Macaca mulatta: one gene and its partners. The protein of the gene in region 4 binds, or shares a complex with, the protein of the main gene of each other region. Links are inferred from orthologs where the notes say so. Each region holds a gene or a part of one and is shown on either strand. Other genes may lie near its edges.

Evidence for each region.
Region 1: ARPC1B (region 4) and ARPC3 share a complex: the UniProt entries of both Homo sapiens proteins name them as parts of the arp2/3 complex. The link is inferred for Macaca mulatta from reciprocal best matches to the Homo sapiens genes ARPC1B and ARPC3.
Region 2: ARPC1B (region 4) and ACTR3 share a complex: the UniProt entries of both Homo sapiens proteins name them as parts of the arp2/3 complex. The link is inferred for Macaca mulatta from reciprocal best matches to the Homo sapiens genes ARPC1B and ACTR3.
Region 3: ARPC1B (region 4) and ARPC5 share a complex: the UniProt entries of both Homo sapiens proteins name them as parts of the arp2/3 complex. The link is inferred for Macaca mulatta from reciprocal best matches to the Homo sapiens genes ARPC1B and ARPC5.
Region 5: the proteins of ARPC1B (region 4) and ARPC5L are in contact, whole or in part, in a cryo-EM structure (PDB 6YW6), measured with the Homo sapiens proteins. The link is inferred for Macaca mulatta from reciprocal best matches to the Homo sapiens genes ARPC1B and ARPC5L. Residues at the interface, in NP_005711.1 of Homo sapiens: Arg118, Lys138, Arg142, Phe164, Ser201, Gly203, Trp204, His222, Asp223, Ser224, Thr225, Leu240, Ala241, Ser242, Glu243, Thr244, Leu245, Pro246, Phe281; in NP_112240.1 of Homo sapiens: Asn21, Lys22, Arg102, Gly139, Leu140, Gly141, Ile144, Arg145, Thr148, Arg150, Lys151.
Region 6: ARPC1B (region 4) and ARPC2 share a complex: the UniProt entries of both Homo sapiens proteins name them as parts of the arp2/3 complex. The link is inferred for Macaca mulatta from reciprocal best matches to the Homo sapiens genes ARPC1B and ARPC2.
Region 7: ARPC1B (region 4) and ACTR2 share a complex: the UniProt entries of both Homo sapiens proteins name them as parts of the arp2/3 complex. The link is inferred for Macaca mulatta from reciprocal best matches to the Homo sapiens genes ARPC1B and ACTR2.

Annotation. Positions count from the first base shown.
Region 1 is NC_133416.1:117,616,724-117,620,958, forward strand, and holds the start of ARPC3 (actin-related protein 2/3 complex subunit 3), read right to left. Parts: upstream 2,801-4,235; 5' UTR 2,724-2,800; coding exon 2,718-2,723; intron 1-2,717. UniProt on the Homo sapiens protein: Component of the Arp2/3 complex, a multiprotein complex that mediates actin polymerization upon stimulation by nucleation-promoting factor (NPF).
Region 2 is NC_133417.1:23,658,994-23,662,493, forward strand, and holds part of ACTR3 (actin-related protein 3), read right to left. Parts: intron 2,655-3,500; coding exon 2,511-2,654; intron 451-2,510; coding exon 277-450; intron 1-276. UniProt on the Homo sapiens protein: ATP-binding component of the Arp2/3 complex, a multiprotein complex that mediates actin polymerization upon stimulation by nucleation-promoting factor (NPF).
Region 3 is NC_133406.1:41,104,621-41,108,120, forward strand, and holds part of ARPC5 (actin-related protein 2/3 complex subunit 5), read right to left. Parts: intron 1,220-3,500; coding exon 1,043-1,219; intron 1-1,042. UniProt on the Homo sapiens protein: Component of the Arp2/3 complex, a multiprotein complex that mediates actin polymerization upon stimulation by nucleation-promoting factor (NPF).
Region 4 is NC_133408.1:46,617,962-46,621,461, forward strand, and holds part of ARPC1B (actin-related protein 2/3 complex subunit 1B), read left to right. Parts: intron 1-833; 5' UTR 834-846; coding exon 847-910; exon of another isoform or gene 911-935; intron 936-1,737; exon of another isoform or gene 1,738-1,746; coding exon of another isoform or gene 1,747-1,786; coding exon 1,787-1,891; intron 1,892-3,139; coding exon 3,140-3,362; intron 3,363-3,500. UniProt on the Homo sapiens protein: Component of the Arp2/3 complex, a multiprotein complex that mediates actin polymerization upon stimulation by nucleation-promoting factor (NPF).
Region 5 is NC_133420.1:22,905,296-22,909,475, forward strand, and holds the start of ARPC5L (actin-related protein 2/3 complex subunit 5-like protein), read right to left. Parts: upstream 2,801-4,180; 5' UTR 2,715-2,800; coding exon 2,565-2,714; intron 1-2,564. UniProt on the Homo sapiens protein: May function as component of the Arp2/3 complex which is involved in regulation of actin polymerization and together with an activating nucleation-promoting factor (NPF) mediates the formation of branched actin networks.
Region 6 is NC_133417.1:123,461,737-123,464,677, reverse strand, and holds part of ARPC2 (actin-related protein 2/3 complex subunit 2), read right to left. Parts: intron 2,673-2,941; coding exon 2,572-2,672; intron 2,232-2,571; coding exon 2,131-2,231; intron 1-2,130. UniProt on the Homo sapiens protein: Actin-binding component of the Arp2/3 complex, a multiprotein complex that mediates actin polymerization upon stimulation by nucleation-promoting factor (NPF).
Region 7 is NC_133418.1:59,453,955-59,457,454, forward strand, and holds part of ACTR2 (actin-related protein 2), read right to left. Parts: intron 1,009-3,500; coding exon 793-1,008; intron 1-792. UniProt on the Homo sapiens protein: ATP-binding component of the Arp2/3 complex, a multiprotein complex that mediates actin polymerization upon stimulation by nucleation-promoting factor (NPF).

The DNA of each region.
Region 1 (4,235 bases), on a different chromosome or scaffold from region 4:
ACACTTTGGGAGGCCGAGGCTGACAGATCACAAGGCCAAAAGATAGAGACCATCCAGACCAACATGGTGAAACCCCATCTCTACTAAAAATACAAAAATTAGCCGGGTGTGGTAGCACATGCCTGTATTCCCAGCTACTTGGGAGGCTGAGGCACGAGAATTACCTGAACACAGGAGGCAGAGGTTGCAGTGAGCCGAGATCGCACCACTGCACTTCAGCCTGGTACAGAGCGAGACTCCATCTCAAACAAACCAACCAACCAACCAACCCAGGGTGAATCCAGGGTGCTCTATGTGCAACTGGAGCCAGTACAGGGCTTTAGAGTCCTTTTTTTTTGGAGACAGAGTCTCCTCTCACCCAGGCTGGAGTACAGTGGCATGATCACAGCTCACTGCAGCCTCAAACTCCTGGCTCCAGGTGATCCTCCCACCTCAGCCTCTTGAGAGGCTGGGAGGAGATGCACTACCACATCCAGTTAATTTATTCTTATTTTTGTAGAGGCAGGGTCTCATTATGTTGCCCAGGTTGGTCTCAAACTCCTGGGCTCAAGTGATCCTCCCATCTTGGCCTCCTAAAGTGTTGGGATTACAGGCATAAGCCACTGTACCCAGCCTAGAGTCCTGGCTTAAAATCTGGTTTTACCATTAGTAGGCAACTTTGTCCAAATTAACTTCTCTGAGGTTCCGTTTCCTCTTCTGTAAAATAGGAATCATGGTACCTACTTCACAGGGTCATTATGAGGATTAGATGGGATAATTTATAAAGTGTGTACCCCAGAGCTCAGGAGTCAAATGGTAATTACGGAATTCATAAAATATGTATTTGTGAGGCTGAATGAGGTGGCTCACGCCTGTAATCCCAACACTCAGGGAGGTCGAGGCAGGAGGACTGCTTGAGCCCAGAAGTTTGAGACCAGCCTGGGCAACATGGTGAGACCCTGTCTCTACTGAAAATAGAAAAACTTAGCTGGGCGTGGTGATGTACACCTGTAGTCTCAGCTGCTCAGGAGGCTGAGGTGGGAGGATCACCTGAGCCAAGTTTGTGTCACTGCACTGCAGTCTCAGAGACGGGGTGTAACCCTGTCTCAAAAAAAAAAAAAAAAAAAAATCTATCTATATATATCTATATATATATGTATTTGCAACTATGGCTTGCTCCTTTTCATCACAAGTATACTTTATGTAAAGCACCCTCTGCCTTCCCTTTCACCAAACTGTCTTGTTACCTATCTAGTTTCTTTTTTTTGGAGTGGGGGGGTCAGAGTCTCACTCTGTGGCCAGGCTGGAGTGCAGTGGCACAGTCTTGGCTCACTGCAACCTCCACCTCCTGGGTTCAAGCGATTCTCCTGCCTCAGCCTCCCAAGTAGCTGGGATTACAGGCACGCGCCACTACGCCCAGCTAATTTTTTTATTTTTAGTAGAGATGGAGTTTCACCATGTTGGCCAGGCTGGTCTTGAACTCCTGACCTCGTGATCCATCCGCCTAGGCCTCCCAAAGTGCTGGGATTACAGGCGTGAGCCACCGCGCCTGGCCATCCATCTAGCTTCTTTATAGCATTTGTCACTACCTGACACTACTGTATGTATCTCCTTTATGTTTACACTTTTATTGTCTCGTCTCCCGATTTGAACGTACACTGTTTAAGATTAGGGATTTGTTGAACTTATTTGCTGCTGTAAATAGAGCCTGGCAGGCAGTAGGTGCTCGGTAACGTTTGTTAAAAATAATGTGTGAGCAGGCTGGGCGCGGTGGCTCATGTCTATAATCCCATCACTTTGGGAGGCCGAGGGGGCGGATCACCTGAGGTCTGGAGTTCCAGCCCAGCCCAGCCAACATGGTGAAACCCCCGTCCCTACTAAAATGCAAAAAATTAGCTGGGCGTGGTGGCGCGCGCCTGTAATCCCAGCTACCCAGGAGGCTGAGGCACGAGGACTGCTTGAACCAAGGTGGCGGAGGTTGTAGTGAGCCGAGATCGCCTCACTGCACTCCAGCCTGGACGACAGAACGAGACTCTCTCAAAAAACAAAAAAAGTGTGAACAATCACACAATAACCGAACCACCTTTTCCCGAATCTGCAAAATGGAGACCATGATGGTGATAAATCTAGCCCACAGACTGCCTGTCAGAAATTAAGTACAACCAGACCGTCATAGATTTTTACTCCCACTCTGATGCACACGAAAAAGGAAATCTTTGGAAGTCAGGCGCCGACCGAGTCTGTGAGGGCCCTATACCCAGGTGGCTCCGGGGTGGCCGCCGCTGCCGGGAAGTGGGTTCTGACAAATGACAAACAGCAGAGGGAGCCTGCCCCCCGGGGCGGAGGAGGAAGTGGGCCTCACAGAAAAAGGAGAAGCTAGACCCTGGACTTGAAATATGAAAAATAAAAAGGGCAACCCTTGGCTTCGCGCTGTAGTGACGCTTTGGGAACCCTGCCGGAGCCGGAAGGAGTAGACGGAGAGAGAGAGAAGAGGGCCTCCTCACACACCCTGGACCCCTGGACCCCGGGCCCACTCCTGCCGCGCCCCCGCCTCCCACGACTGGCACCCGCGGGCTGTCCCAATTCTTCAGCGACCGGTCCCCTCCCCTCGCCTCACTCCTTCTCGGGCCCCCGCTTCCTCTCTGCCTTCCGCCGCCCGCTTCTCTCGGCACACACAAGGTTTCTCCCCGCTTTTCGCAATCCCCGCTGTCTCCCCACACCATGGATCGAACCCTCACCGGCATCTTGGCAGCACCCGGGTTCCAACCCAGAGGAGCAGAATCCAGGTAGAGCAGAGCGCTTCCGGTCTTGCAGCCCGGGCGGGGTAGGCGGAAGCGAAACGGAAGGGGCGGGGTGATGACGTGAGCTTCCGGCTTTGTAGTTCCGCCTCTGGTTGCAGCGGCCGCGCGGATCTGAAAGGGGGCGCCAGAGCGCTAGGTAGGGGCCCTCAGAGTGGCGCAGCGTGAGGCGCGCGCAGAATGGAGATGGGTCTTGAGGTTCCAGAATCTTCGATCAATCACCTCTTTTGTGTTTTTTTCAAATTTCACCTTTTCAGGGCCGGGCATAGTGGCTCATGCCTGTAATCCCAGCACTTTGGGAGGCCGAGGCGGGTGGATTACCTGAAGTCAGGAGTCCGAGACCAGCCTGGATGGTGAAATCTCGTCTCTACTAAAAATACAAAACTTAGCTGGGCGTGGTAGCATCCCAGCTACTCGGGAGGCTGAGGCAGAATAATCGCTTGAACCTGGGAGGCGGAGTTTGCGGTGAGCCAAGATCGTGCCGCTGCACTCTAGCCTGGGTGAGAGTGTGACTCTATCTTAAACAAACAAACAAAACACCTTTCCTGTGAAGCCGCCTCTGGTCATTCTGTTTTCAATTCACCCGACTCCAGCCCCATGCCTTATCCTTCTCTCCCGCTTTTTCCCTTAGTTCTTATGATTCTTGTATTTAGTTTACTCTTAGTGCTTGTCTCCCTATCCTTGTAAATGCCAGACAGCACTTCGCCCGTTTTGTCCCCTGGCGCCTGTAACAGTGATGGTATGTAGGAAACATCAGTATTTGAGTAAATGAATGAACCCAATGCACTGCATCTAAAAATGGAGAAACTGAAGGGCACTGGAATCTGAATCGCAGCTTCAATACATACTAGCTCTATAATTTTGAGCAAGTTAACTTGCCTCTGTACTTCAGTTCCTCACCTGAAAATGGTTGTAACAATATTTACCTCATAATTTTGTGACGATGAAATGAATTACATGTAAAATGCTTAGAACTTACATGCTTGGAGCATACCGAAAGCCCAGGAGTTTTTAACCTATTTATTACTAGAAAACTTACGTTAAAAGTCAAGTTCATTGCTACCTGAGAGCCATTTCTTCTGCCAGTTCGCAGCCTGGAATAGAGCCCCATGTTCCCACATCTGATTTCGCATTCAGGTGACTGGGCAAATAGCACCTTTTAGGCAAGGTCTTTTTTGACAAAGAGCCCAAAGTAGCCCCATAGTCACTCTCCATTTCTTTTCTGCTTTCTGTTCTTTCCATCCTCTCTCCGAGGTTCAGTCTCACAGCCCAGCATGACAGCCCCACGTGAGCAAAGCGCTGCCTGCACTGTGAGTCCCTGTTCTATCCCCAGTACCTGGCATCCATAGAACTTCAGTAAATTTGTGTAAAGAATCATGTCAGCCCTGCCTATGAGACAGTGAAATCCTCGAGGACTGGAATTGTCAGATTCATCTTTGAAACCCTAGTGTCCAGTGG
Region 2 (3,500 bases), on a different chromosome or scaffold from region 4:
CTCTTCCCATGACCCCCCCACATAAGCCCCCATATTTAAAAAAAAAAAAAAAAGCTTTTTCTAAATCTACAAAAAATAGCAACAATTTCACTTGTTTAAAGAAAAGCAAATTTTTTCTTTAAAAATTTCATAAAACTTTTAAATAAAACTTTTCATAAAAATTCAAACGGTTTTTAGTATACTAATAAAAGTTTTTGAGATCAATTCTCTCTGAATATCCATTAATTGATATTTGCTGCTGAATATTTTTAAACAATTCCGTTAAAAAAAACTTACCTCTGGATGAAAAAATATTTCAGGTCCCAAAAATCTCTCATAACCAACATCGATAGAAAATTCTTTCTTTGAGATAGCATTGATTCCAGTATACTGTTTAATCCATTTTGACCCATCTGTATCATACTTGTTAAATTCTTTTACTAAATCTGGGCAGACATAACTATAACGCTCCTGAAAAACAAATAAACAAAAGTAACTTTTTTTGCCTATTACAGGAACAGTAAAAAAGAATGGCATGTTTTCAGTAAACTAGAATCAAATAAAAAAAAAAAAACTTCTTCAGAAAATAAAATTAGGAAATTAAGCTGGGAGTAAAATTTATGTTAGGATGTTATCATATGTGTAGTACAAATAAACATACTCATCTCCTACACATATTTTCTGACTTTAAATATAAATAATATTTGAGAGATTGGAGAGCTGATTTCTACTACTTCAGTGTTATTTCCTGAAAATGTTCATTAATGTCATTCAACATTTTCTGTCTCAGTAATAATGAATCTCGTGCTCTACGTAAGGAGAATAAATAAAATATAGAACTGAGGAATAAGTAATAATTATGATAACCACACAAATTAATTAGATCCTTAATATCTGAAACAAAACTGATTACAGTCTGAGTAAATAAATGAGCAAAGAAAGAACGCTAAAAATATAAATTACTCCATTTTGTTGCATATTTGGTTATATGACACCTAAGTAAAAGTTTTATCAAAAACATTGAAAAATATATTATAGATTATAACATCATATTTGTAATTTATAAACTCCCAACTGCCAGCCTATATATATATATTTTTAAAAAGCCTTCCTTTTCCAGTATTTTTATACATCACAGGCTCCATCCGAGATAGTTGCAAATATTACTAGTAATAATCAAAATACACAAAGAGAAAAAATACTGGAAACGAAAGACATTTGATTCACTATTTGAGGTCTTCTCCAAACCTTAGAAGTGGGAATGACAAGAAATGATACTCCTTTAAAGACATTCAGACTGACCATCAATCTTCTCTGGAATAGATTTAAATCTCTGGTGTTTTCTCATTTTGCTTTAATTTTACAGATTTCCCAAAGATGTTGAATCAGTAGTATTCACATTAACTTTTTATATATTTAATTCTTATGCCACCAACTTGGGGTAACTTTTGGCAGTCCTTTACTAATTTACTACCTAGGAAGTAGTTGATAAATTTTCATTCTTAAGCTCTGACGAGCAAGGAAAATCCCATAAACATGCAAAGAGGCCCAGGCATGGTGGCTCACAGCCAGCACTTTGAGATTCTGAGGCAGGAGGATTGCTTAAGGTCAGGAGTTCACGAACAGCCTGGGCAACATAACAAGACCTCCATCTCTACAAAAACTTAGCCAGACATGGTGATATGCACCTGCAGTTCTAGCTACTCAGGAGGCTGAGGCAGGAGGATCACGTGAGCCCAGAAGTTTGAGGCTGCAGTGAGCCATGATTGTGCCACTGCACTCTAGCTTGGATAGCAGAACAAGATCCCATCTCTATAAAAAATAAATCAATAAAAATAAGAAATAAAAAATTTAAAAATGTATAAGTGAAAAAAAAAACCATGCAAAGAGAGACAAATAAGTAAAAGTTACTTTTGCCAGGGCAGTTTTACTTTTCAAAACATGTGAGACCCACTGAAATTTTTTGGTTATGTGGCAAATAGTAAGTTTGAAAGATGATGTTAAAGTATTTTGATAGTTTGCATGAAGCATTGATATAATACTTACATGGCAGAAAAAATTTAAAAAATACTTTAGATAGCCTTAATGTTTTTCTATGTGCCCTATCACTTGAGTTAACACTGCCTCTATACTATAGCACAATGAATCAATTATATCAAAATAATTTTTATGACAAAAGCTTTTAAAATTAAAATAAAGAATTCAGTGAAGAAATTGAGATGCAAGCACTTTACAGTGAAATAATTATTTTTAATAAAGAGAATCACAAAAATTTATGGAGAGGTCATTTGGTAAAATGTTCTTATATATTACTCCTCTCAAATATAAAATATGAAGAAAATAGACAAACTTGTAATAATAATTTTCTTGCAAGAAATACAGAGAAAATGTAAATATACTTAAGAGTAATAATTTATAACTGGTTAACAAGATTATTTTAAGTACTGTTCTTCAATTAAAAATTTCTCATGTTAATGTTATAAATGTGATTTTAATTTTTAACTAAATTACACTTCTATCTCACTTTTTACCTTTACTGCCTTAGCAGTTTCCAAGGATTGTTCTGGAGGGATTCCTACTTCTCGGTCTCTCAGCAGTTGCTGAATAAAATATGTTATATCTCGTCCTGCGATTGGAATGTGTTTAATACAGCTGCCAATCACATACCCTTCAGCCTAGAGGGGGGAAAAAGATTTCAAATTTACTTTCAATGCTTTGAAAATTAATATAACCTAAAAATATGAACCATTAAAGACCAATTTATCAAGTTAGTGTATTCATATTCTCAAGTACTGTTTTATCCCAGAATTCACCTTTATTCATCAGAAACAATAACTAAGAATGGCCAGCAACTTGAGATTTATTTTCCCATTGACAATTTATAACTATGACTAAAATAACAACACAGAAACAGTAAATTTCAAAATAGAAATATCAAATGGTTTAGATAGCAGACTTTATATCAGATAGTACTATTTTAAAATCATTTATAATTTCAGTAATTATAATTTAGAATGTGTCATAAGAAATTTGACAAAGTGCCTATCATTTTTCTAATGAAGTATGTATCCATTTCACAAACCTGAAGCTTTCCACACACCACCATAATGTCAAATAACTAAATTCTGTAGAACTGATTCACAAATTCACTGATGTGTCAGAAGTATAACAAATAGTGTGGCAAAATTAAATTTCATTAGGAAAGAATATTAAGGATGCCTTCAGCGGCCATGACAGAATATTAGGGACTGAACTCACCCTCTCAACTTAAATAAAGGACACTTTATAAGAAATAAAGGTTTTCAGACATTTGACAATTGGCAGAGTAGGGCAGAGATACTTTCTAAGAAAAGGGAAACAAATAAAGTGAATGTTACAAACACTCTATCCTACTGCCTAGGGAAAGTTACTAGGCCACAACAACGAGAAAGAGAACTAAAACAGAACTGGTCTCATTAAGTTAGGGATATAGAATTTAAAGGTCAGAAAGGCAAAAGTGGCTAAAGTTTGTAGGCCAAATT
Region 3 (3,500 bases), on a different chromosome or scaffold from region 4:
TAGTTCTTTTTGATAGTGTATGAGGGATAAAGTGACTTGACCAAGGCTAAACAACAAGTTTACTATGTACTTTTCTCTTATGTGTGTGTTTTCATTCGGATACACTTCAAACACTTAATATTTTTATGGCTGGTTCTATTTACATGTTATCCAGTTTTTTACCCAAAGCTCAAAATCCCTTGTACTCTTTTGACAGATGATGTACCAGCATCTACTTACATTGCAAAATATATGCATGAAAATAGAAAAAAATGATTTAAGAATTCTTGATCCTCCAAACCCCTAATTCTTTAAAAAAAAGTTGTAAAATATCTAACACAAAATTTGCCATTTTAACCATCTTTAAGCGTAAAATCCATTGGCATTAATTACATTTACAATGTATTGTAGCCATCACCACTATCTGTTTCCATAACTTTTTTACCACTCCAAGCAGGAACTCTGTACCCATTAAGCACTAACTCCCTATTCCTTACTTTTCCTACTTCCTGGTAACCTCTAAGGACTTTCTGTCCCTTTGTCTTTGCCTATCTTAGATTATTTTATATAAGTAAAATTATAAAATATTAGTTCTTTTGTATTTGGCTTATTTCACTTGGTATGTTTTCAAGGTTTACTCATGTTATAGTATGTGTCAGAATGTCATTCCTTTTTATGGTTGAATCATATTCCATTGTATGTATGTACTACAATTTACCTGTTCATCTGTTGATGATCCTTGTGTTGTTTTCACCCTTTGGTCACTGTGAAAGAATTCTTGATTTATACTGCTTATTTTCTTTTACAAAGTTTTGATTTAATTTAGAGTTCAAGATTATGTTTAATTACTAATAATCGTTGCTGAATAAACACAAGTGTTGGAATTAGAATCTCTTAAGACCAAGGCTAGTAAACATAAATATGAACTATCATTTTCATGCATTTTATTTGTAATAAAAAAATGTACAACCAAGTCAAAATGGTTATTCAGGTGAGAGAGGTCGTCACTGTCATCCCCTATTGTAAAAGAACCAGTTATGTAGATTTATAATTCATAATTTACCTTTTCATGCCATTGCAGTAACACAGCACTGCTATTGTCAGAGGGGCTCTCAAATCCTTTATAAATATACTTCATTAGGAGATCCACACCATTCTTGTCCAGAGATTGAACTGCCTTTTCAATATCATTAGCTTTAAAAGAGATGAGCACCTTCAAGACAATGCTGCCTGCCCGGTCCTGGTGAGTAAATAAATAACAGAACATTTAGACGTATCTGTATGAGGATGGTTTAGAATTTCAGAAAGGCCACACTAAGAAGGTGACATTTGAGTAAGGACCTGAAGGACGTGAAAGAGGAAGGCCTGGGATAACTGAGGAAAGTGTTTCAGACAGAGGAAAGAACACACTATTAGTGTGTGTTCAGTGTGTTCTAGGAATAGGAAAAAAACCCAATGTGGTTGGAGTGGACTGGTGGGAGAAAAGCAGGTGAGCAAGTCAGAGGTTATGGGAGGACAGATCGTGTAAGGCCTCCAGGCATTGTAAGGAGTTTGGCTTTTACTGAGAGAAATAAGAAGACATTGGAAGGTTTTAAGAGCAGTGCCATAATCTGACTCACATTTTAACAGGATCGCTTTGGCATCTACGTTACAGAGAATAAGCAGTGGGGGTAGGGGATAAGGCAGAAGCAGGGAGAGCAATTAGGAGGTAATTGCAGTAATACAGGCCGGATGTGGTGAGCACAGTAGCAGTGGAAGTGGTTAAAAACTAGACAGACTATTGACATAATTGAAGGCAGAGCCAAGAGGATTTGCTAACAGATCAATGTGATAATTTAACAATTTATTAAAACAACATTTAAATTTTATGTCTTGATCTTAAAAACAAAATTCCAACAAAACAGCCGGGTGTGGTGGCTCACAGCTGTAATCCCAGCACATCGAGAGGCCGAGATGGGCAGATCACCTGACGTCAGGAGTTCAAGACCAGCCTGGCCAAAATGGTAAAATCCTGTTTCTGCTAAAAATACAGAAATTATCCGGGCATAGTGGCAGGTGCCTGTGATCCCAGCTACTCGGGAGGCTGAGGCATGAGGATCGCTTAAATCCGGGAGGCGGAGAGTGCAGTGAGCAGAGATTGCGCCATTGCACTCCAACCTGGGCAACAGAGTGAGACTCCGTCTCAAAAAAAAAAAAAAAAAAAAAGAAACCCCACAAAACAAGGAAGCAGATTTGCATTTCTACCTTGAATTATTCTTCAGAAGTAATTTTTTCTTAAAAACTTTCTTTTAAAATTTTTAAACAAAGCTGTCTTAAAAGAAAATTGTAATTTATATGAATTGACTGTAGATACGAAATATAGTGATGTTCATTAATAATGATCTTTTTTCTTTAGCAAAAGCCTGCTTCAAAAGCAGTTATTTTCTTACCCATTCAAGCAAGCAAAGGGAACACTTAACTGACCTTTTCAACAATTCGTTTCTTCTTCCATTCAACACAAAGGGCTACCTCCAGCATTCCTACTGGTCAGGATTTCACACAATGTTTCTACTACCTATTGTTATCTTTGGTTTAAAGACTATGCAATCACCAGATTTAGAAAACATATCTTTGCATCCAGGGTAAAAATGAAATTTCAACGACATTCTTTACAACTTGTAAAAACCAAAGCAATTTTTCCCCGATAAAAAATTATGTTACCTAGATAATTATTACACATTTACCTAAGTTATTACTTACTACTACTCAATTGAGATTCTTGAAGCTCCTAGGATGTACGAATAGTTATGGACAATGAGGTTGATGCTATGGGCATCATTTTAAATAAATACTTAAATAGGCTAAGAACTACTAAAAGACTGCAGAGAATGTAAGTTGCACAACCATTCTGAAGGGCAATTTGGCAATACTACATGTACCAAAAGCCTTAAAAAAGTGCGTTCTTTGATCCAGTAATTCACTGCTAGCAATTTATTCAAAGAGAACAATTAAAAATTTACCAAAAAATATTCATTTCAGTGGTTCACAATAGGAAAAGTCAGTCTAAATATATAACAAAAGATTAGTTATGTATACACTGCAGCTTATCCATATACAACTGTTAAAAATGCTATAGAAATAAACTTATTACGAAGGAAATCTCTTGTACATTGCATACAGCCGAAAAAGCAGGTTATAAAATTTCATTCTTAAAAAACAAAAGGGAACTCTAACAATATAGCAAGGCCCCAAAGTAGTAACTGTTATCTCTGGGTAGTGGGACTATAAATGACTATCTTTTTAACCTTCCCATATGTCTGAGCTTTCTATAATAAATATTTAGTATTTGTACAGTTTTAAAAAATCTTTAAAAAGCAATTACAATCTGTTTATTTTTGTAAAGGTTTAACTTATTTTTCAAACCTTTGTTCAAATTCAGCCTGAGTGGTCTCCTCTAAAAACACACACAAATGATTTCACTATTTGAATTCACTGCATCTTACCATGCAGCATTATCATAACTACATTACAGGGCTATTTTT
Region 4 (3,500 bases):
TTTTTTTTTTTTTTTCCTGAGATGAGTCTTACCGTGTCACCGAGCCTCCTGAGTAGTGCGTATTACAGGCAGGTGCCACGACACCTGGCTAATTTTTTTTTTTTTTTTTTTTTTTTGAGATGGAGTCTGCTTTGTGGCCCAGGCTGGAGTGCAGTGGTGCGATCTTGGCTTACTGCAAGCCCCGCCTCCCGAGTTCACACCATTCTCCTGCCTCAGCCTCCCGAGTAGCTGGGACTACAGGTGCCCGCCACCACACCCGGCTAATTTTTTGTATTTTTAGTAAAGACAGGGTTTCACCATGTTGGCCAGGCTGGTCTTGAACTCCTGGCTGCAAGTGATCCACCCACCTCGATCTCCCAAGGTGCTGGGATTACAAACATGAGCCACCAGGCCTGGCCTGGATGACTTCATCTTCATCCCATCCTTAATGGGGCAGGGAAGTTGGGGGGGGTCCATCCTGTGAGGAAACTGAGGCACAGGTGACAAGTGAGGGGCCTGTCCGGCTTGGAGTCCTAGCACCCCACCCCGCCCCAGGGAGCATCTCCCCTGTAGTACTATCTCCTCCACTCTGTCTCTGGAGCCTCAGAGATATCCCGTGAAAGCTGCCCTTTTATAAGGAGGGAAACTGAGGCCCCAGGAGGGGAAGCAACATGTCAGGCCAGTTAGGAGCCAGGGCTGGCCCCTGCTGCTCGTCTCTGCAAACAGCTGCCTCTCTAGACTGAGGGGCCTCCCTGGTGTGAGGCCCTTGAGGATCAGCTGGGGCCTGGTATCCGGGTAAAGTCAGGGGCAAGGTCAGGGCTGACGTGGATTCTCTCTTCCTTTCTTGGGCACAGGAGCCAAGCCGCCATGGCCTACCACAGCTTCCTGGTGGAGCCCATCAGCTGCCACGCCTGGAACAAGGACCGCAGCCGTGAGTGCTTGCTGGGGGTCGGTGGGTGGCTGCTTCTACCTCCTGGGATGGGGAGACTGGAGCAGCCAGGCCCCCGGACCATAGGCTCCATGCGGCTGTCCCCGGGCCTCACCCCTGGGTCTTCCAGCTGACCAGGGGTCTCCTGGGTTAAAGTTTAAGGAGGGAATGGGCCAGGTGCAGTGGCTCACGCCTGTAATCCCAGCACTTTGGGAGGCTGAGGTGGGTGGATCACTTGAGGTCAGGAGTTCCAGACCAGCCTGGCCAACATGGTGAAACCTTGTCTCTACTAAAAATGCAAAAATTAGCTGGGCGTGGAGGCATGCGCCCGTAAACCCAGCTACTGGGGAGGCTGAGGCAGGAGAATCACTTGAACCCGGGAGGCGGAGGTCGCAGTGAGCCGAGATTGCACCACTGCACTCCAGCCTGGGTGACAAAGCAAGACTCTGTCTCAAAAAAAAAAAAAAAAAAAGAAAGAAAAAGTGGCCAGGAAAAGCCTTTTGGAGGAGATGACATTTTGACATTTACACAGACACCCAGAGGAGGAGAGGGAGGGAACTCTGCCCCAGCTGGGGAGGGGCTGGCAGGTGCAGGGGCCCTGAGGTGTCAGCAGGAGCAGCGAGGGGACCCTGGCTGGCCAGAGCGATAGGGTGGGGAGAGGTCCCAGGGGTCATTGCTGCGAGTAAAGGACAGTCAGTCCCAGGAGAAGAGAGGGTGAACTGGCAGGGCCTGAAGGACTTCAGGGGGCCCCCTCCAAGGCAGAGGAGGAGAGCCTGAGTCATGAAGGATGAGGCTGTTGCCCAGGTGCACTGTGTAGTGTGTCCTGGCAGAGGGCAGTCATGGAGAGGGCCCCTCAGTCTCCCTCCATCTCCCCTGCAGAGATTGCCATCTGCCCCAACAACCATGAGGTGCACATCTACGAAAAGAGCGGTGCCAAATGGACCAAGGTGCACGAGCTCAAGGAACACAACGGGCAGGTGACAGGTATGTCAGGGTGGCTGGGACTACCCTCCTGAAAGGAGGTGGGGGGTGGGGTGCAAGGCAGGACATGGCCACTCATTATGGGGCATCTACCCACTCACTGTGAAACCCTGATTCAAACTGGCTTCAATTTTAAGGGGACTGTGTTGCCTCATGTTACCAAAAAACCCAAGAGGGTTGAGGGCTTCAGGAGAGGCTTGATCCAGCAGCTCCACATGACCAAGAACCCATCTTTTCTGCCTCTTGGCTTTGCCCTCCAGCATGTTTACTGATAGCATGGAGGGCTCTGACACTCCCTCATAAGCTCTAGGAGTGCCCCCTGGTGTCACTCTAAATAAGCACTGGATCTCAGTAAAAAGTGCTTGCTGGGCCGGGTGTGGTGGCTCATGCCTGTAATCCCAGCACTTTGGGAAGCCAAGGAGAGTGGATCGCTTGAGTTCAGGAGTTCGAGACCATCCTGGCCAACATGACAAAATGTTGAAAAATACAAAAGTTAGCCTGGTGTGGTGGCACACACCTGTAGTCCCAGATACTCCAGAGGCTGAGGCAGGAGAATCGCTTGAACCCAGGAGGCAGAGGTTGAAGTCAGCTGAGTTCACACCACTGCACTCCATCCTGGGCGACACAGCAAAACTGTGTCTCAATAAAAACAAAGAAAGAAAGAAAGAAAGAGGCTGGGTGCGGAGGCTCACACCTGTAATCCCAGCACTTTGTGAGGCTGAGGCAGGCGGATCACCTGAGGTCAGGAGTTCAAGACCAGCCTGGTCAACATGGTGAAACCCCATCTCTACTAAAATACAAAAATTAGCCAGACATGATGGTGGGTGCCTGTAATCCCAGCTACTTGGGCGGCTGAGATGTGAGAATCGCTTGAACCCGGGAGATGGTGGTTGCAGTAAGCTGAGATCACGCCACTGCACGCCAGCCTGGGCGGCTGAATGAGACGCCATGTCAAAAAAAAAGAGAAAGATTGGTGGTACACACCTGTAGTCCCAGCTACTCAGGAGGCTGAGGCACAAGGATTGCTTGAACCTGGGAGGCAGAGGTTGCAATGAGCCGAGCTCATGCCACTGCATTCCAGCCTGGGTGACAGAGTGAGACTCCATTTCAAAGAGAAAAAAAAAAAGTGCCTACTGGGCAGATAAAGCTTCCACCTTGATTGTGGCCTTTCAGCCTCTCCTGTGTGGCCACCATAGAGCCACCCCTGCCTGAGTGTCGTCAGCCTCCTGTGTCCCCTCCATCCCCCCACAGGCATCGACTGGGCCCCCGAGAGTAACCGTATTGTGACCTGCGGCACAGACCGCAATGCCTACGTGTGGACGCTGAAGGGCCGCACGTGGAAGCCCACTCTGGTCATCCTGCGGATCAACCGGGCCGCCCGCTGCGTGCGCTGGGCCCCCAATGAGAACAAGTTTGCTGTGGGCAGCGGCTCCCGTGTCATCTCCATCTGTTATTTCGAGCAGGAGAACGACTGGTGGGTACCTGGGCGGGGCTGGAGTGGGCTGGTAGGGACCTGGGGGCAGGACTAGAGTTTCCCCGGGAAGCACCAAATGGGATGTCGGGACCCCTGTTCCCATGACCCCTGGGGAGTCCATCCTCTCCTCTCTGGGCC
Region 5 (4,180 bases), on a different chromosome or scaffold from region 4:
GCCTCCCTGAAATCACCTATCATTCATGAAGCCGGCTGTCACACTTGGCTGGCTTTAGACCTTTTCAGAGAATAGGCTGTGGTGCTGGGGGAACCCTGCCCAGCCCTTGATCTCTAGATCTTCCTCAATCACGGCACAACTGACACTGTGGACCCACGATTCTCTGACGTGGGATCTCAGCTGTGGGTCATAGGCCTCTGCCCACTGGATTCCAGTGGCATCCCCAAGCTGTAACTATCAAAATGTTTCTAATTTCCTGAGGTGGAGAGGAGGGGTGCAAAATCGCTCAAAACCACTGCTCTGGCCAGAGCCCTGATCCAGAAGTCTAGAAGCTGCTTCACTGAGGGGAAAGGAACTCATACTTTTAAATCGCCACAAGGTCTCGGATCCTGTGCCTGGTGCTTTCACATGCCATCTCATTCCAAAAATCCCAGTAACAACAATCATTATCTCATTTGAAAGGCAATGGAATTGAGGCTCAGAGAACGGAAATTACCTGCACAGGGTCACAAAACTAAGCTGTCTAGATGGCCCTGGCACCCAAGCTCCTCCCACAATCCCGTGCTGCCGCTCTAGCTGCAGACCTGAGCAGACACTTGCTGTGTGCCCCGTGATGCTGATGTTAGCCCATGAGGCTCCCACAGAACCTAGGAAGCCAGCACGGCTGTCTGCCACGTCACAGAGGAGAATGCTGAGTTGTGAAAGGGTATGTGACCTATCCGAGGTCAGAGCCAGAGCATGATGGCGCGCGGTGTGCGAAGATGCACAGCCGAGTTCCTTCTACCCCATCTGCGTGATCTCCCGCCACACACACTTCCCTATATAGCCCCAGGACAGGGTTCCTCTCTGCCCTCCCCAACCCCAATCCCTCTATCCCTCTCCCTGCTCCCCTGTCCTCAATGGTCTAAGTCCAATTCTTGGCACATGATAGAGACCCAATAAATATCAGTTCCATTCTCCTCCCTACCTGGGTCCGGTATTTGCCAGGGTTTCAGTTCTCTTTATCCGCTAACCTCCCTTTCCCCAACCCCAGGTGGAACACTCTCCATGGTAACAAGGTTTCTGCCGCTGCCATGAATGGAGAAACGACCATCCCCGGGATGTGCTAAACCCAGGCCTCTAAGCAGCCTCAAGGAACCTGTCACCAGGCAGGGGAATCCCAAGACATGACCTTCAACAAGGCTCTGCACCCAGACCAAGGCAGCAGCTGACAGGCCTGACCTCCTCATCTGTTCAATGAGGGTCCTGGGCCAAAGGCCTGACCTTGGAGCCCCCTTCAGCACTGACTCTCCATAAGCCAGGCCCTGCACCTGACTACAACCAACCTTCCCTCCTGGGGACCCTTCCCTTGACCCCATTTCATAACTAGGGTGGACTGGGAGATCCTGATGGGGCAGGAATGACAAGCTTGAATCTCCACTTCCGAAAACACATTCCTGTTCAAACCAAGTCTGAAGGTTTTCGTTTTAAAGGCACACTGAGGAGCACTGCCGGGCTCCCCCTAAAGCAGCAGGCCCCACTTTCCAAGCTGAGTCAACTGGTTCAACACCGAGAACCTGATTTATGTACAGCATGGGCCTCCAACCCTGCCCCCGCCCGTGCGGGGGGAGGGGACAGGCTTCCTGGAACACCATTTGAATAAAGAAAAATCCTTCCGGTGAGAATAAGTCAGTTTCCTGCGCTCATACTGCTAAAGGACCAAGCAAGGCTGTGACAATCACCTCTATTTTTAATCTTTTCTAAATGCTGTTTTCTGTGGCCACAAGAACAGTCATTTCCAGGCGTGGGGCTCTACTTTCACACTTCACTTCAAGGTGTCTGGTTTTTCTTAGCTCTGAACTACTAGTTCTTTCCGCTGCTTCCTGCACCAGAAGGGTACTGGGGGGAGCCAAGACTCACTTGCTGAGCGTAGCTGAGACCACCAAGGTGACCAGAGGAACCACAGGGTTTCCCTTTCTCAGCATTAAGCGGGAGGGTTAGACTGACTGGGGGAGGGGAGGCACAACCTTAGACCCCAGGGCTGAAATAGGGCGGCCGCCTCCACTCCCTCCTGGGTCCTGTCTTCCCCACAGCGGTCCACCCACCTATCTTCACGCCCTGCGGCAATCTGGCCCCGGAAGACCGCGCCCCAGCCTCACCGATCACTCGGTTACTCAGATACGGCTCACCTCCGCCCTGCCGCCGACCCAGCCCCGCCATAGGCCCGATTTCCTGCAAGGGAGGGACGGAGTGCTGGGGCCCCCAGAAAGGGACAGCGTGAGGGGACGAGGAGGCAAGAGGGGAAGAGAGCCCGGGGCGCGGGACCTGCGGGGCTACCGAGGGAGCCCGTCCACCGGGTCCAAGGGCCTGCGGGGCTGCGCTGCACAAGAAGGGGCCAGGGCTGGGGAGGAAGGACCCAGGGAGACCAGGACTCAGGGGAGCACGGCCCAGGGGAGTCAGGTCGGCAGGGAGTTGAAGGCTGACCTGAGGGGGCCGGGGGTCGGAGACAGCAGAGGCCCGCCCGAAGGGGCCCGAGAAGGTGGGAAGGCCGCGCGCAGGCCCGGACGCCGCGTCAGGAAAGGATATTGCCGCAGGAGCCCGTCCACCTCGCTCGGGTCCGGGCCTGGCTCCGCCGCCGCCGCCGCCGCCTCCTCCTGCTCGTCCACAAATTTGTTCTCATCAAATTCGTCGATGTCCACCCGGCGGAAGCGCGAGGACAGCGTGTTCCGGGCCATGGCGGGAGCTCGGCGCCCGCTCAGCCGGCTCCACTCGCGGCCCGACCTCAGCTCTGCTCCACTCGCACCGGCTCCGGCTCGGGGGCGGGAAGCGGCCACCGGGCTGCTCCCAGCACCTCCTCCACCGCCTCCGCGCGCAGCCGCCGCCGCCCGCCCACTTCCGGCACACGCCGGATCCGGAAGCGTCATCGGGGCGGGGCGGAACCTGTCCCGTGGAGTGCGCTATGGGGTTTCCGCGGCCTCTCCGACCTCAGTCTCTCTTCCGCGGAGCCTCTGTCTTACCACTGAGGAGTGGCCGCCCGGTATCCTTGCAGGCCCCGCATAGTGTGTGCCGTAATCGCGCTGGTGATCCGGCTTTCCCGCGCCTCCGAAGAACCCCTGGCCTCAGCGGGGCCCGGCGCGGGCTTCCGGGGTGATCCTTGCCTGTACGGGGGAAGACTGGGCGCCCGGGAGAAGGCTCGGGGCTCTACTTCTCGGGTGCTGGGCAGGCTTCTTGGAGAAGAAACCTTCGAGCTGATGACTGAGGGATGAGTAGGAGTTCCTGTGCCCGGGGAGTGACGCGGGAGGGGTCTGTGTCTTGGAATCTTGAACGCCGCCACACTTAGCACGAGGAGGTCTCCTTTACACAGAGGTGACCCTGTTAAAGGAGTGGGAGGCTTTAAAGACGTTTAGTGCGATCAGAGGGCTGACAAGGCGTTGAAGACATTGTGACTCGAGGGATTTTGCGGCCCCACGTGTGTAGCAGTCACCTTGACCAGGCAGTTGGGGCCCCAGGAGAGGGAGATGGCCCTGTGGCCACCGTCCTGGCAGGAGAGGCCTGGCTTGAGAGGCACATCTTGATAGAAACCAAATTCTCAGAATCTGAGATGCGGGAAAGCGGGTTAGGGAAGTCAAGGACGACTCTGAGGTGTCAGATTTGGTGCCTGGGCTGTTACCCCAGGGGTTCTGTTAATTGATCTTAGCCTTAGGGTAAGTAAAATGGGTCTTTTATATAATACTATGAAAACTGTTTTCATCTAATAGTACCCTTGTTAATAAAAGTTGGAATGTGATTCATTTTTACTGCTTCGAATACTTCTCATTGAACTGTGTCTAAAGATCAAAAAACTATTGCCAGACTATGATGCAACCTAATCTTCCGTGGTAACCAGGATACAGACTCCCATAGTGGGAAACTGGCGCTAAAGAAAAGTCTCCGCCTGTAATCCCAGCACTGCGGGAGCCGAGGCGAGCGGATCACCTGAGGTCAGAAGTTTAAGATCAACCTGAGCAAAATGCTGAAACCCCGTCTCTACTAAAAATACAAAATTAGCCGGGTGTGGTGGCGCAGGCCTGTAATCCCAGCTACTCGAGAGGCTGAGGCAGGAGAATCGCTTGAAACTGGGAGGTGGAGGTTGCAGGGAGCCGAGATCGCGCCATTGCACTCCAGCCTGAGCGACAAGAGCAAAACTCGGTCTCAAAAAAAA
Region 6 (2,941 bases), on a different chromosome or scaffold from region 4:
CAGCCTGGACAACATGGTGAAATCCTGTCTCCACAAAAATTAAAAAAGTAGCCAGCTGTGATGGTGCACGCCTGTGGTCCCAGCTACTTGGGGGGCTGAGGTGGGAGGATTGCTTGAGCCCAGGAGGATGAGCCTGCAGTGAGGCAAGACTGCACCACTGCACTCCAGGCTGGGAATCACAGAGTACTGGGCTAGGCGCGGTGGCTCACGCTTGTAATCCCAACCCTTTGGGAAGCTGAGGTGGGCGGATCACGAGGTCAGGAGTTCAAGACCAGCCTGGCCAAAATGGTGAAACCCTGACTCTACTAAAAATACAAATAAATTAGCCAGGCTTAGTGGCGCAAGCCTGTAGTCCCAGCTGCTGTGGAGGCTGAGGCAAGAGAATTTGCTTGAATCCAGGAGGCAGAGGTTGTAGTAAGCTAAGATTGTGCCTCTGCACTCCAGCCTGTGCTCCAAGAGCGAAACTCCATCTCAAAAAACAACAAAACAACAAAACAAACACCAATAGTACTGGGGTGCTGGCAAATACACTGGCTGTTAGGGAGGCTTATGATCTCAAGACTTTTAGTTCAACTGGTACAAAACACAGCAGATGGGAGGCCGAGGTGGGCGGATTGACTGAGATCACGAGTTTGAGACCAGCCCAGGCAACATGGTGAAACCCCATCTCCACTAAAATACAAAAAATTAGCCGGGCGTGGCGGCGTGCACCTGTAGTCCCAGCTACCTGGGAGGTGGAGGTTACAGTGAGCTGAGATTGCGCCACTACACTCCAGCCTGGGCGACGGAATGAGACTCTGTCTCCCCCAACTCCCCCCACCAAAAAAACAACAAACAAAACAAAAAAACAGCAGATGAACACTATTACCTTATCTTAAGGACAGGATTGCCTGAATTTCATCAGAAGAAGAACCAAGGTCTGGACTACACTACAGCCTGGGCGACAGAATGAGACTTTGTCTCCCCCAACTACCCCCACCAAACAAACGAACAAACAAACGAACAAAACAAAAAAACAGCAGATGAACACCATTACTGTATCTTAAGGACAGGACTGCCTGAATTTCATCAGAAGTAGAACCAAGGTCTGGACTACACTACAGCCTGGGCGACAGAATGAGACTTTGTCTCCCCCAACTACCCCCACCAAACAAACGAACAAACAAACGAACAAAACAAAAAAACAGCAGATGAACACCATTACTGTATCTTAAGGACAGGACTGCCTGAATTTCATCAGAAGAACCAAGGTCTGGCACCTTTCACAGAGATGGAACTCTCTAGGCTCTAGGCCATGCTCGTCTTTCCTGCATGCAGAGCCACACCCCTATTTAGGGCTCTCCTCAAAAAAAAAAAAAAAAAAAATTTTTTTTTTTTTTTTTTTTTTTTTGAGACGAAGTCTCACTGTTGCTCAGGCTGGCGTGCAGTGGCACAATCTCAGCTCATTGCAACCTCTGTCTCCTGGGCTCAAGCAATTCTCTGCCTCAGCCTCCCGAGTAGCTGGGATTACAGGCGCCTGCCACCACGACCGGCTAATTTTTTTTGTATTTTTAGTAAAGATGTGGTTTCACCATCTTGGCCAGGCTAGGCCTGAACTCCTGACCTCGTGATCCACCTGCCTCAGCCTCCCAAAGTGCTGGAATTACAGGCGTGAGCCACTGTGCCCATCAGGGCTCTCCTCAATTCTATCCTTGATAAAGAGAACTTTCCTCTGCATGCAAACTTCCCGCTGAGAGTACACCAGGGAAAGAACGCTTAGTGGGCGGCGTCAGGACTATTTACCCAAGTAAAGGTCCCTAAGCAACTTCTTCCATCTCTCCAGAAAGAACACCAGAAGCACAAGACTGACCTCGTAACTCAGGCCCAAAAACAACAGTCTCTTGGTAAACTTTGTTTATTTCCTAGCTGCCATTCTCAGAGTTCACAAAGATATGGAAACAAGGAAACCCATCTGGGCCTATACAGCACTGAAAACCTGGAATCCCACCTTTGTTTTATCTACTTAGCCCTGCTGGCCTCACATGTAGCCAGTGCCCAGACACATGGAGGACCAGGCCACCAGCACCCACTGCTTCCTTCTCGGTGACTCAGGAGAGGAAGGTGGTCCTGCTGGAGTGCTGCCTAACTTACGTGATTGTTTTCATTTCTTTTTTCTCAGCATCTGGGCGTGCGCGGTTCAGCACCTTGAGGAAGTCAGATGTTTTTGCCCGCATACGTGTGTGAATATAGGCCTGGGAACAAACATAACAGGTACTGAAGCACAGTCACGGTCTAGAAAGACAGCTTTGCTTTCATCAGAGGCGTTTGGGAACATACACCCTGGGACTGACCCAGGCCCTGCAGCAAAGCAGGAAGGTGAGCAATTCTGGAAACAAATATTCATCTCTGCTACGGGGAGGGGTGGGGGACAGTGGCTTGATGAAGAAAGACCATGGTTTCTTGAAGCCTCTAGAATTATCTACCTAAGAGTCAATATCCACAGCCTAGACTAACAGAATGACTTTTTGTCATGAGTTCTGGTGGAGGAAAAGACCCAGAGCATAGCGGCTGAGATGCTGGCACCCCCCTCACCTTAGAGCACTTGATGTGGTAGTGCAGGTAGTCCCGGAATGTGTGGATCAGGTTGATGGTGTTGTCTCGAGCGCTGGCATTGGTGTGACGAGGGAACAGCACTGAAGGTGGAAGACACAAGGTGTTAGGACCCAACACGAATGCCAAAGGGTGGGGAAGAACAACAGCCTAGTGAACTTCACTCCCTCTCTGCTGAAGTACCCTCCACTTGTGTCAATATTACCAGGCTTTGTCAGGGTTTTTTCTTGACATGGAAGGATAAACAGCATGGCCAGGAAAGGTGTCAATGAGCGTGAACGGAGGAGCCCATGATGAAAAACAGGGCTTGACGCTAGGCCTTCATTCTAGTCCTGGATTCTGCAGCTGTGCA
Region 7 (3,500 bases), on a different chromosome or scaffold from region 4:
AACCTTGAATAACAAGAAGATTGAACCACACAGGTCCACTTATACACAATTTTTGTCAATAAATCTTTCCTGCCTCCCCTTCCCTCCTCCACCTCTTCTGTCTCTGCCACCCGAGACTGCAAGACCAACCCCTCCTCTTCTTTGTCAGCGTGAAGACAATGAGGATGAAGATCTTTATGATGATCGACATCCATTTAAGGTATAGCAAATGTATTTTCTCTTCCTTATGATTTTCTTAATAGCATTTCCTCTAACTTACTTTATTATAAGAATATAGTATATAATACATAGTATGTTATCAGTAAGGCTTCTGGTCAACAGTAGGCTATTAGAAGTATTTTTGGGGGCAGTTAAGTTTGCACAAGAGTAGGGAGGGTTGGTGCCCCTAACCCCTGCATTGCTCAAGGGTCAACTGGATCGCTTACCTTCTAACAAACCATTTAATTAACTCTGTAACTGCTTATTGTATTAGCCTTTTCAATCTCCTTCTGCTGGCTCCTCCATAAAAACTTAATTAAATTAACTCACTAAATTAAAAACTTAAATTTTTTTGGCCTGTTTTTCCCTGTTAGAATATAGACACTCCATGGCAGTAGGATTTTTTGTTTACTGATCTATTCTTCTTTCCTATTTAGAATAACAACTAGCATATAGTAGATACTTAGTAAGATCTGAAGGAAAACAATTATTTTTATTCTCTTTATCCACAGCAACAGTAAAAAAAAAAACTTTTTTTTTATTTAACATAATATCACAGAAATACACATATGCATATCCTGCATAAAAACTCACCTCTACAATCTTCTCTCTGTTTTTGGTTGGGTTCATAGGAGGTTCTGTGAGTAAGATTTTACAATTTCTGGTATCTATATTAAGTTTCTCTGGTCCAAATGTGTAGTCCCACAGGTGTTTCATGTCATCCCAATTTCGTACTATGCCATTTTCCATAGGGTAGTTAACTTCTAACATTGATCGTAATTCACTTGCCTCATCTCCAACCATAAGATCCTAGAAAATTATGTCAAAGCTGTAGATCAAAGTTTTGCATATTTGCATATTTTAAGAAAACTGGGGAATAATTAATTTTAATCTTTCTGGCACTTGCAAAATAAAGCTTTTTATTCCACAAGTTAGAAAATCTTTTCTATCAAGAACAATGTCTTAGAAAGTTTAATCATGGATAATAAATTTTTATGTACAATGTGGTTTAAATCAATAAATTGACCTTACCTTTAACATAAATGTTTCCAAAAGAAGAGCATTAGCACAAATAAACCCCACATTTTCATATTTTGGAGGGTTTTGTATGAGGTTTCATCTGTTTCTTTTGCTCAATTGTTCAAAAAATAAGGCCTGTGATATGTGAAATAGTACATCAGGGGGAAAAAAACTTGTAGAAAAATGCTCAATGCATGCAGCACAATTCTTTGCACTAAATATCAAAATGATAAATGTAAGTACTATAAAGCATAATGAAAGAAGCAAAAAATAAAATGATTCTTTATTACTCTATAATAATGCATACATACACCAACGAACTTATAAATGGCACAAACTTCTATCTACATATGCCTGAATTAGAATTTAAACTGTTTCTACATATGCCTCACCAAGGTGAATGAAAATCTGTAGAGTTATAAAAAAATTAAGATATAGGCAAACAACCTATCCTTTAAAATCATCTCCTGAGCAACACTTTCAAGTTTAAAGTACAATATTGGAAAACTACACCATCACACATGAAGCATAATACTCACAAGTCTTGTCTCCAATGAGAGCATACTTAAGATGATCCACATTTGAAAGTCACATTTTGTATACATAATAAGGCTAAGGACGTCCTAGCATTTAGATTTATTTTTAGAAAACAGCTAGTCAACATGTTAAATAATATTAATTTCTACATATGTTGATAAATTCAATAAAACACAACTAGTATCAGAAGCAGATACTTGCTACAATACATTAAGTTTTAATTATGGAGAGACAAAAAAAAAAAGCAGCAGCAAAATTAACACAAGATTATTTTTCTGAGACTGAGTCTCGCTCTATTGCCTAGGCTAGAGTGCAGTGGCGTGATCTCAGCTCACTACAACCTCCTCCTCCCAGGTCCAAGCGATTCTCCTGCCTCAGCCTCCCGAGTAGCTGGGATTACAGGCACCTGCCACCACGCCTGGCTAATTTTTGTATTTTTAGTAGAGATGGGGTTTCACCATGTTGGCCAGGCTGGTCTCAAACTCCTGACCTCAAGTGATTCACCCATCTCAGCCTCCCAAAGTGTTGGGATTACAGGCATGAGTCACCGCGCCTGGCCAACATGAGATGTTTTAAAATGAAGGCTTAAAAATACATGTTTTTTTTTTTTTAAAAAAGGCAGGGCGCGGTGGCTCAAGCCTGTAATCCCAGCACTTTGGGAGGCCAAGACGGGCGGATCACGAGGTCAAGAGATCGAGACCATCCTGGCTAACACGGTGAAACCCCGTCTCTACTAAAAAAATACAAAAAACTAGCCGGGCGAGGTGGCGGGCACCTGTAGTCCCAGCTACTCAGGAGGCTGAGGCAGGAGAATGGCGTGAACCCGGGAGGCGGAGCTTGCAGTGAGCTGAGATCCGGCCACTGTACTCCAGCCTGGGTGACAGAGCGAGACTCCGTCTCAAAAAAAAAAAAAAAAAAAAAAAAAAAAAAAAAAAAAAAAAAAAATCAGAGATGAAACCAAGATGAGGACTCTAACAAAAAAACAAACAGATCTCTGGAAAATCCACTAAAAGCAACATCAAAAACTACAACAAAGTTAAAAACAGATGCTAGAAATGTTCAATAAAAATGTCTGTTGCAATTTCTGATGAAGTTAATTTAACATAACTTACTAACTTATTACTCAAAGTTCTGAAATATTAAATGTTTAGACTCTTTTTTTTTTAGATTGGGTCTCACTCTGTCACCCAAGCTGAAGTGCAGTGGTGCCATTATGGCTCACCACAGCCTCAACTTCCGCAGGCTCAGGTGATCCTCCCACCTCAGCCTCCCACGTAGCTGGGACTACAGGTTACATGCCCAGCCAATTCTTGTAGTTTTAGGGGTTTCACCATGTTTCCCAGGCTGGTCTTGAACTCCTGGGCTCAGGAGATCAGCCCACCTCAGCCTCCCAAAGTGCTAGGATTACAGGCATGACTCACCACGCCCAACCAACTGTTTAGATTCTTCTATGAGGAATATGCAAAACAGAAAATCTGTATTTGTGAATTCTAGTTAATAACATGCACATGTTGAAGTATACTGGTATCTGCAACTTACTTTGAAATCCATTAAAAAACAAGATGCAATGATGAATGAATAGATGAACAGATATGTAATAAATCAATATGATATATATTAATGTCAGAATCTAGGTGATGGATATACAAGTTTCATTGTAAAATCATTTCAGTATTGCTATGTTTTCTTAATACTGCTTAATAAAATGTTAGGAGTGAAATCTATACCTGTAATTATATATACTA